Drosophila melanogaster: one gene and its partners. The protein of the gene in region 3 interacts with the protein of the main gene of each other region in a pairwise test. Each region holds a gene or a part of one and is shown on either strand. Other genes may lie near its edges.

Region 1 (4,982 bases), on a different chromosome or scaffold from region 3:
AGCACTCGGAGCGGAGCGCCGAGACGGAGATACTACGAGTATAGCCCACAGTCGATTGTGCTTTTGGTATGGTACATTGTATGGTAGAGTTTGGTATTGTATGATATAGTATGGTATAGTATGGTATTGGTATGGATGCGTCACCAGTCGAGAGGCTCGTCGAAAAGTGGAGTGTGTGGTGGGGGGTGTGTGCCCGTGTGGAGTGTATTGACCGGCGATATTCCGGGAATTCGCTCTCTTCAGATCGATTGGGCCTTATCTTGTGGCGAAATGGATATGTGATTGGGTCCAATAAACACCTACAAGTGTGTATATAAGATGGGTGTACTCATCGTTTGAGGGGTATGCGCAGTTAGCCTCGATAATGCGTTTTTTAAAATTCAACTTTTTCGACGTGGCTAGACAAATTTCTAAGAATCTAGGTCGCCTATCAGTCGGCTTATCAAGATTCGAAAGATATATATTACAATTATGTAAAGTCGTTTATATTTCTTGTCAAAACTAAGGTGGAGAGCCTATGAACACATATACTATAATATACTTAGCATTCTAGTTTGCCTCGCTCAATACATAATGACAATAAACAGGGGTAACAATTCACTTAGATTTCACTTAGTATTTTAAATCTACATACACAGCTGTAAGTTGATAAGATTCCTTTCAAGTCTAAAGGGCATGATAAAATAAGATTGTATTTGGTGCTTATCCCATATATCTTTCGCTGTGCTATAAAAAAAAAAACAAAACATAAATAACTCATATTCGAGATTGCAGACGGCGCGATTTGGTAATATCAGAGTTCATATCATAAAGATTAGGCTTTAAAATTCGGCAAGTGGACTCTGACCTCTGCGCAGATGGCACTTTATCGGCATGCGGTTTAGGTAAGCAACTTGAGATCTGAAGATGGGCTCTCCACACCTGTTCTTATCGCTGTTACATCACTATGGTTAGCCAGCTTACTTGATAAACCAGCTGAAAAACAAGTCTTAAATATATGTATGTACATATGTACGATCTGATTCTATAACCGAAAACGGGCCAATGAGGTGGCGGGGATAAGCAACAATTGAGGGAGGCGATAAAACCTATCGCTCACTATTTATTGTTGAAAGTCCAATAATCGCAGTGGCGGGGGGCCTGTGAGAACTCCAGTGGTACGCAATTTCGGTGGTCTGATAAGGATTGCTCGAGCACGCGGTTCCGATAAGAGGTGATTGCTGTCAGAATAACCTAGTGCAATCGGTGACGCGTTGGAAGTGTCTACCTGGCATAAATGTCGTCTGCTTATCGCACGACCGGGATCTTCGTAACCCCCCCCCCCCCCCCATCGAAAGTGTGCCCAGATTGGAGAATTTCGATTTAAAATAACCACTGCGATGAAAACGAAATGGTGCTGCTGGTGCTGGTATTTGTATCTTGGGTTTGGACTTTGAACCGTAGCAAACTTGAAATGTGCGGCGACTGCGAACGACAGAGGCAGCCAGCCACGCATGTCTAACGAGAGCGGTACGATCGAGGTATTGGTGGCTCTGGAGGGTCGGGTTCCGAGGGGCAGCACAAAGGCGCTGGGAACCAGTTGCGCTGGGACCCCTTGCAAATCATTCACAGCTGCCGCGGCCAGCGCAACGAAAATTGATAAAGCGAGCGGGGTATCTTTGAGATACTCGACTACAAGATATCCACTATTACATGGATTCACATGAGTTATTGAACTAAAAGTGCTGTGAACATTTCTGAAGTACTGCGACACTTAAAAACGTAACACACTATTGGTTGAGTGTGGTCGTTAAAAGCGGTCATAACAAGGTATACCTAATATTTTTATTTGACAACCATATTCAATGCAGGTTAATAGTTCTATAAACGTGTAATTACCATGCGAAATAAACAAGCAAACTTACTAAAATGATTTTGTCTCAAGACATACCCACTACTAATTGAATACTTACAGTAGACGATACTCAAAAAAATATGACTTTGAGGAATACAACTAATATTAGGGCGTATTTTAAAATTTTTCAATTTTTTTTAAATCTTTTTCGATACTAAAATATATTCTATATATTATTTTTTGTTTTTTGATGTATTGAAAATACACATACCCTGCAAGTCTTTAATTGCCGGGTATGCAAGCAAAACACTCAATGAAGGAGGTCCATAGCTAATGGTTTCGCTACTTTCCATAACAGTTAGCACTCGGATTCTGGGTTTATTATATTGACTTTTTGTTGTTGGTTTGCGGCTGGGCTTTTCCTTGGCATTTTCCCTTCGAAATGAGAATGCAAGAAAGTTGGAATGGGGGTAGGAAGAAAGAGAGACGCAGAGAGCAACACCTGCCCGTCAGTGTGTGGGTGTCTGTTGTGGTTTTGCTTTTCAGATGTTTACGTCGAAAGCTCTCTCAGTATTTCTCGCTCTCCTCCCACTCAGTGCGTTGTAAGAAGAGGGGAAAGAGCAACAAGGAGAGAGCGTGCCCCGTTAAGCCTCTCAGGAAACTTGTTTCGGACTTTGAACCGCTTCGATTAAAGCGTGTTTTGAAAAACACCAAACAACAACTATGTCTGCGGAACGAAATAAAAAAATTAAAACAAACAAACAACAACAAGGCAACTGCAGACTCAACTAAAGTTTTGTAATAAAAACAGTGCTATTTGTTTAGTGACCATTTCGGGCAACAAGTTTTTACCAGATTTGTGACCCAATTATTGCCAAACAGGTTGGAGTCTCTCAGTTTTTAGCTTTTTTTTCGGGCCGGGGACGGAAAAGGGGGCGTGGTCAAGAGAGCGGGTGAGTTTCTGGGCCAACGGACTTTTCACACGGCCAACTGCCCGCCAGACTTACTTTCTTGAAATGGTAACCAATTGCAGTCTCCACTTTCAAATCAAAATGCTAGAAAGGGCGAAACAATAAAGAGCGCACAAAGCGGGAAAAAACAATAAGAACAACACGGGAAGGACGACGGACGACGAAGCAGCAAACAAGAAAATGCAAAGACGCGCGCGCAATGTTAACGTTGTAAGCGTTGCGGTGGCAAAAGAGAGACTGAAACTGCGCCTGAGAAGCAGAAGCAAAGGCGAAACGGAAGCAGCGGCCAAAGAAGAGCAGCAACAAATCCACCATATGATCGGGGCAACAACAACAACTGCGGCCCAGTGGTGGTGGCTAAACAAGTTTCAAAAGGGTTAAGCCATCAAACTTCTGCACTTGTCTCTATGTATACTTAGTTATGATTTAATCAAAACGCGCACAGCCATTTTAATTACCTTTAAGTTGCACAAACTTATGTTTTTTTGTTATGGTTCAAAGCACTATTTCGCTTCTGTGTAAACTGATCATTAAAATAAGATGGTGCCTATTAAGATGTAAAGAAATGTGTTCTGAAAAAAAACAAAAACACATTTCAGATTTTTAACACAGGATTACATACATATATCCTGCTACATTTGATTCCTACGAGCATTCCTGATTTAAATAGTAAAATAAAATGATACTCTGTTTAATGAATGTAATATATTTGCTTGTTTAAATGAAACTTTTTCATTTTAATAAACGCCTTATCCTACGTACGAAGTAAACTATTCGGTTGCAGGAACAGCCGGCTCCTCCTGCTGGTCCTTTTCCTTGCTGGACAGACCGCGTATGCTGACATCGTAGACGACCTCCTCGATCTTCTTGACATCATACTTTAAGGCATCGAAGCGCTTTCGCAAGCCATCGTTCTTCAGGTTCAGCAGACGGAAGCCCGTGTTCAGGTCACCAATAAAATGGGAGATATTCAGGGGACGCTCGTAGTCGCCCATGGTGACGGAATTGGTAGCGAATCGGGAGAGCTCCGACGCCAACTGCAGTATGCCCAGTAGATAGTCCTCCACATCCAGATGGAAGCCCTCAGACTGGCTGATCTTCACTGTGGAGTAATTAACTATTATTTCGTATCCAGAGAGCCTTCCAAATCTAGCTTACATCCCAGCATTTCGGCCACTGTTTCGCGGGTGACCAAGAAGCCCGCCTCCAGGTAAATAACCAAGGCAATGATGAAGATCAAACGCTGCGTAATGAAGGTCCAGTGATCGGAGTATCTGGAGAAGGCGGAGCATTCGACACCCACAATAGACACCACGGATTTCACCATCTGACTCACCTGTAGTACTGCCCAGCTGGCACCAGTTCGGCCAATTTCTGGTACTTTTGGGCACACAGCTCAACCTGTTTGCGGGCTAAGCCGCAGGCGGCACTAACTATTGTTCAAGTATAATGTCATATTAGAACAAAACATACAAGCTACCAAATTGTACAGAACTTACTCTGGCTCAAATCGCTATGAATAATCTGCAGTTTAATCTGCGCTTCCTTTGACAAATGCTCGATTTCGCGCACCACAATGCGGATGTTCTAAAAACAATGGTTTAAGATGGTGGTTTTTAGGATATTAACCGTCAACTCACCTCCCTGACTTCCTGTTCATTGTCTATGTACTTTTGGTAGTTGGAGAAGATGTCCAAGTTCACGAAGTTCGACATTTTTGCTTAATGTTTTGCTGCTTTTGTTAGTTGTTTATACCGGCGATAGGGATGGGAGTATAGCCAAGCAATAAGTCTAGCAATGCTATCGATATGTCACATTGTTATCGCTTGCCCAAACCAGTGTTGGTGAACGCCCTTCTTGTCATCTGTAGTTTCATTAAAATTGTTTTGTCCCTCAAGTTCCAATTAGAATCGAACTAGGCTCGTGACAAAATGTCTTATGTGAGTGTGTTTATGCTTAAGAAAGTGGATTAAATGTACTTACTACCGTTTATCCACAGGGACAAGGCTATAACCCGTATGCCCAGCCCGGTGGTGGCTATGCCCCGCCGCCAGGAGCATTTCCGCCGCAGAATGCCCAGGTGTCTCCGCAGGCACAGCAATGGTTCTCCATGGTGGACCGCGACCGATCTGGAAAGATAAACGCTTCCGAGTTGCAGGCGGCCCTGGTGAATGGGC
Region 2 (6,668 bases), on a different chromosome or scaffold from region 3:
TCCTCGGCCTGGTTGGACGCTGCAAGTGCATGTTACTCGACGTTCATACCCACGGAATCAGTGCACTTACATGACATGGCATAATTTGCTCCAATCTTTATTTACAACAAATAATAATGGGCAGATCCACAGCAATAATAACAAATGGTTTTTGGAAATCGAAGCGTTGCCACAGGGCTGGGTAAGTATTTGCGTTTTAGCTGGGTGGCAAGGCTAACAATCAAAATTTAAAATGTTAATAACATTTATTTTAAAGACTAGAACATTGAACCAGTAATTACAAAATTATAAAAACTTTTGTCAGCAAAGTTAACTTTTATATTTTTTGTTTAACTGAGAGATTATGTTAGTCGATTCGTCTTTAATTTCTGGTAACAGATACACTGTTCAACAGTCAAAGATTGGGCACTATAACATTTTAAAGACGAATTGTCGTACTCAAAATATTGGCACCTCCACGGCGTTTCCAGTGTTGCTAAACACGGACATAAAGTAATGCAGTTCCGTGCATAACACCCAGACTTCGCGCCAAATTCGAAAAAAAAGTTTACAACACACGCTTTATTGCGCCTAGAATAGCCTTGTATGTACAAAAAGAGGAGAAAGGGAATAACAATATTATACGTAAAACAGGGTCCGTTACATACTACTAAACGACTGGTGCCCATGGAAGCAGGAATGATTTGAAGCTCTCATTGACTAAATGGTACGATTGTATTTCTTAACGACGCGATCCCAAGCGAATCTAGAACAGCAGCGAATACAGTTGACCTCCAATGCGCCGACACACGTTTGAGACCATATATGCGCCTGCAGAGATAGTCACGAACAGCGTCAACCATCCCAAGAACGTAAATTCGCCGACCCGGGGTCGGATGTGCCGCGACAGGCCCAACCATCCGCCGTTGTCGATCAGCCAGTAGACCAGGTCGTCCTCTATGATCTCAGCCAGACCGTCAATCAGGCACTGTAGGTAGTCGAAATGTCCCTGGCGCACGCAGTCTATGGCAAAGCCGCCGCATACGGCAAATATCGAGATTATCTTGCCCCAGGTGATGCTGGAGCGAAAAAGATCCTTGGCAACTAGGTTGAGCAACATGGGCGCCATGTCGCTGTCCTCCAGCTCGCCAAACGGGGCCCTCGACAGCTGTCGCGATATGTTTGTGTACACCCGCGGGTGCATCCGCTCCAGTTCCTCGCCCATCTGTGGATTATACCATGTTATGAAAAGATTCAATGGCGAATGGCAGTACACTCACGCTGTTCAGTGCCGGGAAAACTTCATAGACCACGTGCGAGGAGCCGGGGTCCAGGATGTTGCGCAAACGCTGTGTCACCTTCCGGTTGAGGACTCCTGCCCGTCGCAGCCGCGCTCTGATGTACTGACCACACAGACATTTCCCCTGGAATAGAACGACAAAGCCAAAAGTTCAATCACAATCAAATTAACTACAGTGCTTTGATCATTGCCAGGCAATTTCGCTCCATCAGCGGGCCACTTAAACAATATCAATCGACTGCCTCGAGTTTTCCGGCGAACATGCATATGTTCTATTTACGTCGCTCTGAATCCGTTTACAGGATTCCGTAGACACCTGGGCTATTTCAATCACACCTCTTACAGAGTATCTAAACATGCAGCCAAACTGATGGCAGGTGCACATGGCGGTAATAAACTTTGAACAACGACTTAAACAAAAGAAGCGATCAGCACGTGCTGTGGAAAGGCATTAAGACAACTAAAAATTTACTTATGGAATCTGAAAGACGCGAAACGTTTGGCGTAATTAAGGCATTCCCCACCATGTTGCGTTCAATTCCGACCCATTTAGTTGCAAGTTTCCTTCGACAATTTATGTCGCACAATTACCGTTCGTCACGCCAACGATTCCGCAGCCAAGTAAACAGACAATTACTCACTTTGGAGCCAACTTGACTTATGACATGGCCAGCCAAAGAAATCAAGCCCATGCCAAATCACCGGCCTTGAAGCTAGTGTCTTGAAAAGTCTATCGAAGCTACTCCGAACCCGTCCAGCCTCCCAGCGAAATATTAATAAATCCGTCAATTTGTTTACGTGATCTTGTTATGGCGAACACTTGTGCGCCCAACTCTTTCCTTTTGGCGGGTTTGGTGCGACCAAATACCATAAGATTTACTTGAATGGCCAGAGTTCGATGAATTCATCACCTGAGGCTTTCGGGTTGTATAGTTAGTGGTCGGTTTATTTTTGGAATACTTGTTTATAATGGTTCCACCCGTGGCGCTTTCGCGGTTCTTCCCTTTTCTTTAGTTGCTATTATTTTCCTTGAAAACCTCTATGCAGCCTGGTTATGGCCCATTCCATCTGATTTGTCAGAGAAAATGGCGTTTACTTTAGAGGACTGCATTCTGAGAAAACTTCCGCAATGCGCTTAATGATAAATTCCTCAAGAAGTTATCAGCCCGGCGAAAGCAACCACATAGGCAAATATATTTAATAAACACTTTACATGTCGCTCACCTGGAGGAGCGGAGTAAATAGTTTTATCAGTCTCAGATAAACGAATGGTGGAAACAAAAATATTTGCCTTATCAATTAAGTTGAGACAGTCAAGACCCAAATGGTGGATAGCAGAGATTCGGATGGATCGTCCTCGATCAGAGCCATCGAAAATTAGTTGATACCGCAAACAGTTCTGCACATTAAATTGGAATCTGTTTGCAGTTGTCTGTTCCGTTTCATTTTGGCAATTTCGAAATTTGTCCACGAAATTAGGCAATTTGTTTGAACAGCTTTTTCTTTTAGTTTTGTGTTGTGTTTCTCATTTTGCGTACTTGCTGAATATTTAATCACCAAACTGTTGTATTTATATGTATGTCTCAAAAATCGGTTTTAATTATGTGCACATGTTCCGATGCATGACCAGTTTATTTTCTGACTCATTCTATGTTGATAACGTTAGATATTACTTAAAATAATTTAAAAAAAAAACATTGAGTGGCAACATAAGGCTGGAATAGAATAACTATAACAACTAATATATATAACTATTATCAAGGTTTTTAACTATTTTAACGCAAAACTATATATTTAAATGTGGGTTGAAACCGAGTCATGTTTAAAATAATTACACCTTAAAGTAAAGCACATGTCCTCAACCTCTTAAGAAATTTAAGTATTTGTGTTGATTAAACTTTTATATCACCAGGCGCATTGCTATGAACTATAAGAAGTCTTATTTATCGAAGAAGTATCTATTGTAAATTTCAACATTAAAACAATGCATATGAGCCCTGAAAACTTGTCAAAAGAATATAAATTATTTGTAACAAAGCCTTGACCGCTAAAGTTCATAATGCTTTTAAAACCACTTGCAAATTTAATTTGTATTATCTTGGCTTAGTTTTTCTAATTTTCCAACCGAAATGACTGTAATTGTATAATTTTAGAGAATTCTGGCCTATAAGGAAGACATCTGCTTGGTCTGGACCACATACATACATACATAGCTGCCTCTATGTGTACGAATTGGTCTTATATTTAAGAATACCCATCGGAATTCTAGAATTCTGCAAAAGATTAAAGCTAATCCAAGGCATTCAATAGTTCCTTGCTGAAACACTCACTTTGCTGGTGAATATCTCCCTATTTAACTTCCTTGCAATTCCATTGGCTGAGTAACACTCGTAAATTTTTTTGAACATATGCTGAATCAGACGCTTACTTTATAAGGCAACAGTCCCAGCATACTCTCAAGACTTCAACTAAATAATTCCCAAATTGTCCATAGCAAAGGACGGAGCCACTGGTCACCCATTTCTGGTCCTCACCTGGTTGATGATATCCATTTTGTACTCCTGGTAGTTAGTCATCGTGCGCGTACTGCTAGCCAGCGAGGATGTGGAGGCGGCCCGTGTCATGGGTCCGCCGGCGTGAAGGGAGCGTCCGTTAGAGGGATTGGGTACGCTACCGGGTCCTCCTGCTCCTCCACCGACGCCTCCGCGGAGCGCCTTCCAGTCGCTGGAGGCCGTGGCAATGGTGCCGCGGCGATTGGCCGTGTAGATCTCGTGGTCCAGCGACGAGGACTTGAACTTGGCCAGCTTGGGTGGCGGACTGGTGGTGGGAGCCATGGTCGAAGTCGAGGGCAGGGCAATGCTTGGCTGCCCGCTATTGTTGCTGCTGAGGCCTTTGTTGGCGCTGCCCCATGTGGGTTGTGTAATTCCGAAAGCCCAGCCCCGCGACTTTGCATGCACTATGCACTCGGAGCGGAGCGGATCGGATTGGATTGGATGGGATCGGGTGTGAGCGGTGGGGAGCGGTGGGCAGCGCACGAAAGGGGAGCGGAGTGGATCAGCTCACCTCGACGCAGCTGAGGCTCAGCTCGTCTTGGGCTTTTTTGGAGGTGCTCCGATTCTGATAAAATGGGCAAAACAAAATAAAAGTCGGCGACGAATGTGGCGAGCAAAGCGCAGGGCAGCAAACACGAACGAAACGCACAAAGAAGAGCCACTAAAACTTGTTGCTGGTGCCGCGATCCCAGTTTTATTTCACTTCATTTTTTTTTCAGCCGCTCAGAGCTTGCTTTCTTTTTCGCCGCGTTTAACCGAGAGCTTAGTATTCTGAATTTCAACGGGCAGTGGGGAGAGGGAATCGGCCTACCACCCTCTCCGTTCTATCTTCGATTCCCCACTTTCACGGTTACGGTTCCACGGGTTCCACGGTTCTCCGATCAGCGATCTAGGTTCTTTCGAGTTCCCGTTCTCGTTCTCGCGAGCGGCGCTTGTGATTGTGCGTTCGTTGTAGAGGTGGAGAAACATCGATGTTTTTGAAAAATCATAAACATCGATGTTTTTCGAGAAAACATCGATGTTTTTCCATCTCTACTGCGCATCGGAGAAGAAAAGTGTATGAATTGTAAGTACAAATTAATTTTCCATATTTTCTAATGCAATTATTAAAAGCATAACATAGCACATGGATTAATATCTGAAATGTTAGTTTTGAACTCCCGATTTGTGCACTTGCAGTTGCTCGTATGCATACTGGTTTACTTTTCCATTTAATTGTATTAATTTGTTTTATAGGAGCAACTATTGGACCAGCGGCTGATGAAAACGGAGACGACAATAAGTTTGTTTTTCTTTTCTTAAAGTACTGCCTTTTTATTTAAGCAATATTAAAAAATAATCATTAAATTAAGCAGGTAAATTTTGTTGTTTTTATTTTAAACATCGATGTTTTTCGCCAAAAACATTGGAAGCTTTGATGCCCGCCAACATCAATATTTCTCCACCTCTAGATTGTGCATTCGTTGTGTTTTCGCGACTGGCGAGCCGCGGCTCGCTGGGAACCGGTTCGCGGTAACGGTTTCGAAATAACGGCTTCGCTCTCGAAACCGAATACCGATTGCTTTGATATAATTGTAAAATGGAAACCAAATTTTTTTCACCAACGATGTATTACTCTGACAACCATTTGATTAACTTCTCAAGATATATTATACTTACTTTCGGATCTAAAACTGTTATGGAACCAGAAAGCTATTGCCGCCAATTTCAAAACTGTAAGGGAGCGATCTCCAAACTGCTAAATGTGATGTTCAAAAACTTAAATATTTTATCACTAAACGATAAATGTCCGTAGGCTTCGATCTATGATCTCAGATAAGAGATGCAGGCATCGGTCGCCCCTTTTGGAGGTGATATTACTCGAGGAGGACTTTCGTTTCGTTGGATCAATAAACTAAATAATTCAATAAAATGGAAAAAATACCGACTTGTTTCAAAAATGTAGTTGTAACAGTTTTGTGCATTAGCGATTGCATAGCAACGTTCTCAAACAATCTTCCACAGTCGTGTGTAGAATCTGCTTGCCAGATTGACATGGCCAGACCGACTCGGTTAGTTATCCTTTTTTATGATGAGTAACGTGTGTAATTAAATATTCTTTATAATGTTAGTTTGCTGAACTATCCCCACATTTAGGATTAATCCCACCTTGAATTGCTTACGCGTTCGTAACAAAAAGATAATTTTTTTGATAAAAATAACGCTGATACGCGAATTTTTGCAGTGTATCGGACTAGGACGATAAAGGTGTCGTTCTCGTTTTTTAAGCTTATGTAAGATTTTTTAAATGAATCTAACCGAACTATTGAATCAGATCAATCTAAGAAGCATCGTTCCGCCGGTTCCAAATCCGAATACCGACTATTTTGATAATTACCAATGTCGTATTACTTTATCACCCATTTTATTAACTTCTCAAGATATTTACATATTATACTTTCTTTCAGATCTGCAGTCCAACTTTTATCGAAACGAAAAGCTCTGGAATAAGCTTTTCGAGAGAACATCTTGCCGCCAATATCAAGACTGTGGGGGAGCGAACTACAAACTTATAAATGTGATGTTCGCAAATTTTGGATCTTTTATCTCTAAACGATTATTGTCCGTATTCTTCGATCTAAGATCTGAGATCAGCGATGCAAGCATCGGTCGCTCCTTTTGGAGGCGATATTACCCGTGGAGGACTTTGGTTTCGGATCAATAAACGCACATTCCGGTTGGGACCCAAAAGATTCCTTGGATAGGACCTCAAGGCTTAAAAGAAATTTGTTTGAGTCATTAACAGGTGTTCTTGTTATCAGAAGTTTTAAAAATGAGATAAAAAATAAACAGGCCAA
Region 3 (2,898 bases):
GCAACGCCGGAGGCAACATTGTTGAATGAAGCATGCAAAAGATTTTCCCAATCGACGACGTCTCGCCATCTCTGGCCAAAAGTGGGTGGCACCGCCATTGTCTCCTTCTCCCCGCGGTTGTTTTCGTATCCACATCGTTTAATATTTATGCTCTGCCCATTGGAGGTGAATGCACGCGAGACGCGTTGGGCAAGCGGAAGACCAAGCAGCCAAGGGGTTTGGTCTATGGACTGGGACCTGGTCACGATCCGGAGATGACAACATATTTGATTGCCAGCTAAATTATAATTCTTGACTAAGTCTAGTCCGCCGAACGGGTCGATGTCCATGTCGCTGTCGATTGATTGATTTCCCATTGTAGCCGACCAGTTTGATTTACGGCCCAGACGGCTAATTGCGCATTGTTGGCTTGGTTCCAGGGTTAGATCTTGAATCTGGAATCTTACAATCCCACCGGGCCTGCCGACGGTCCTCCACTTTGGCCAGCTGTCCGAGGTTACACAACAACAACCGGCGTTGGCCGTTTTCAGCTGAAAATGCTTACATTTCCTTACAGTTTATTGCGCTTAACAGACATTTAACAATTAAAGGGGCGGAGGAGGGCGCGCCTAGTACTTCAGTTCCTTGGCCTTGTCGTGGGCTCCCTCGTCCAGGAGCTTCAGCTCCGCCTGCTGCTTCTCCGGTCGGATGACCGTGCAGTAGTGGTAGTAGCGCATTCCCAGGATGTAGGTGCCGTACAGGGTGACTCCAATGCAGGCATACACCGCGCCGCGGTGCAGCTTGTCCAGCAGCGTGTTGGTGTTAATCGGCTTCTTCTGCATGGCGGCAAATCCCTTCCAAGTCCATAAAAGTTTCCGGCAGTCGAGTCCGTCGCCTCAGCTGGTCTGTCAGTGATGACGGCGGCGAATGTATCGATAATTGGGCGTACATTTACTAGCCAAAATAAAGATGAAGACAGTCGAATGAGTACTATATTTTTAAGTGAATTTTAGGAAATCGTTCCAAATGTCCCATTTAGCTTTGAGTCTCACTCGTTTAACGTCGTTTTATCGTTAATCTCACTTTTAGCTACTCTAGCTGGAAAAGGCTTAACTTAAATCGCCGATTAATAATATCGCTGATCTCTGGCCAATCGATATACACCTATACGCACGTGTTTACAAATTTGTGTACTTCGTGGGAATATTTCATCGTATTCTACAACGCCATTGTGAAATAGCTGGACCGAATAGACCTCCGGAGGATTCATGGATCACGAATACGTTGGGGTTAGCCCGCTGGGCGCAGCGGACGGCAAGGGCGCCGGATCGAACGCCGTCATCCTGTGCTGCGAGTGCGGAGTGGCCATCCAGCCGAATCCGGCCAACATGTGCGTCACCTGCCTGCGCAACCATGTCGACATCACGGAGAACATCCCAAAGCAGGCCGTGCTCCACTTCTGTCGTAATTGCGAGCGCTATCTGCAACCGCCGAACGAGTGGATACAGGCCGCCTTGGAGTCCCGCGAACTCTTGGCCATTTGCCTTAAGAAGCTAAAAGGCCTGAAGGAAGTGAAGTTGGTGGATGCCGGCTTCATCTGGACAGAACAGCACTCCAAGCGCATAAAGGTGAAGCTGACTGTGCATGGGGAGATCATCGGGGGAACGATGCTCCAGCAGGTATTCGTGGTGGAGTTCACTGTGCAGAACCAGATGTGCAACGACTGCCATCGGACCGAGGCCAAGGACTTCTGGCGCTGCCTCGTGCAGGTTCGTCAGCGGGCCGAGAACAAGAAAACCTTTTACTATCTGGAACAGCTGATCCTTAAGCACAAAGCCCACGAGAACACTCTGGGCATAAAGCCGGAGCATGGCGGCCTGGATTTCTTCTATGCCAATGATAATCATGCCCGGCGCATGGTTGATTTCCTCCTGACCATGGTGCCCGGCAAGGTAACAACCTCGAAGCGTCTCATCTCTCACGACATCCACAGCAACAACTATAACTACAAGTACAACTGGTCAGTGGAAATAGCACCAGTATCGAAGGACAGTGCAGTTTGCCTGTCCAAAAAGCTGCGCCACCAGCTGGGAAATCTCTCGCCATTGGTTCTGGTCAACCGGGTGTCTAGCAGCATTCACTTGATTGATCCCCTGACCGCACAGATTGCAGAACTCACCTCGCAGGTCTATTTCAGGTGGGACTCCTATTTGACAAAGGTTATCTTCGAGTAAGCCAATTAAATTGCTTTTTTCAGAGCTCCCTTTGAGGCCGTCTGCAATCCCAAGCAGCTGGTTGAGTACGTCGTCATGGACATTGATGTGATCATGGAAAAGGATCGAAAGACCTATCCTGGTCAAGGGCAGGTTTCCTTCAAGCACGCTCTCTGCGACATTTGGGTGGTGCGCGCCTCGGAGCTGGGCATCAACGATAACCCCATTCACACACGCTCCCACTTGGGCCACCTGCTCAAGGTGGGCGATTCCGTAATGGGCTACAACACCGGAGAGGCCAACATCAACGATCTGGAGTTCGACAAATTGTCGTCGGATGAAATTCCGGATGTAATTCTTGTGCGCAAGCACTACGATCGACAGACCAGACTCAGTCAGCGCGTGTGGAAGATTAAGCATCTGGCGGCGGAGGCTACCGATGAGCGCAGCAAGTACGACTACCACGAGTTTCTTGACGATCTCGAGGAAAACGAGGATATCCGCGGTCAGGTCAACATCTATCGGGACACTAACAAGACGATACCAATCGAGGTACAGGCCGCTGGAGGTGATGTGCCCCAGATCACACTGGAGGAGATGTTGGAAGATATGACATTAGAGTGTGCAGACGACGAAATGGGCGAGGAGGGAGGTGCTGACGATACCGAGCCACAGTTGTAGTCCTTTTTTTTATTAATCATAACGC

Evidence for each region. Proteins that work in one complex are often made in the same cells at the same time.
Region 1: the proteins of CG17776 (region 3) and whd interact in a two-hybrid assay, tested with the Drosophila melanogaster proteins (one large-scale study listed by BioGRID).
Region 2: the proteins of CG17776 (region 3) and Debcl interact in a two-hybrid assay, tested with the Drosophila melanogaster proteins (one large-scale study listed by BioGRID).

What each region holds. Positions count from the first base shown.
Region 1 is NT_033778.4:10,475,519-10,480,500, forward strand, and holds the start of whd (withered), read right to left. Parts: upstream 3,050-4,982; 5' UTR 2,842-3,049; intron 2,788-2,841; exon of another isoform or gene 2,525-2,787; intron 1-2,524. Other genes in the region: trsn (translin), read right to left, coding at 3,576-3,907, 3,964-4,079, 4,142-4,238, 4,305-4,392, 4,446-4,520; Pef (peflin), read left to right, coding at 4,737-4,745, 4,805-4,982.
Region 2 is NT_033778.4:6,646,724-6,653,391, reverse strand, and holds Debcl (death executioner Bcl-2), read right to left. Parts: upstream 4,739-6,668; 5' UTR 4,114-4,738; coding exon 3,814-4,113; intron 1,404-3,813; coding exon 1,260-1,403; intron 1,205-1,259; coding exon 746-1,204; 3' UTR 550-745; downstream 1-549. Other genes in the region: Opbp (Optix-binding protein), read right to left, coding at 1-19, 71-77.
Region 3 is NC_004354.4:2,182,888-2,185,785, reverse strand, and holds CG17776 (uncharacterized protein), read right to left. Parts: upstream 1,062-2,898; 5' UTR 822-1,061; coding exon 609-821; 3' UTR 528-608; downstream 1-527. Other genes in the region: Nmd3 (Nonsense-mediated mRNA 3), read left to right, coding at 1,248-2,176, 2,237-2,873.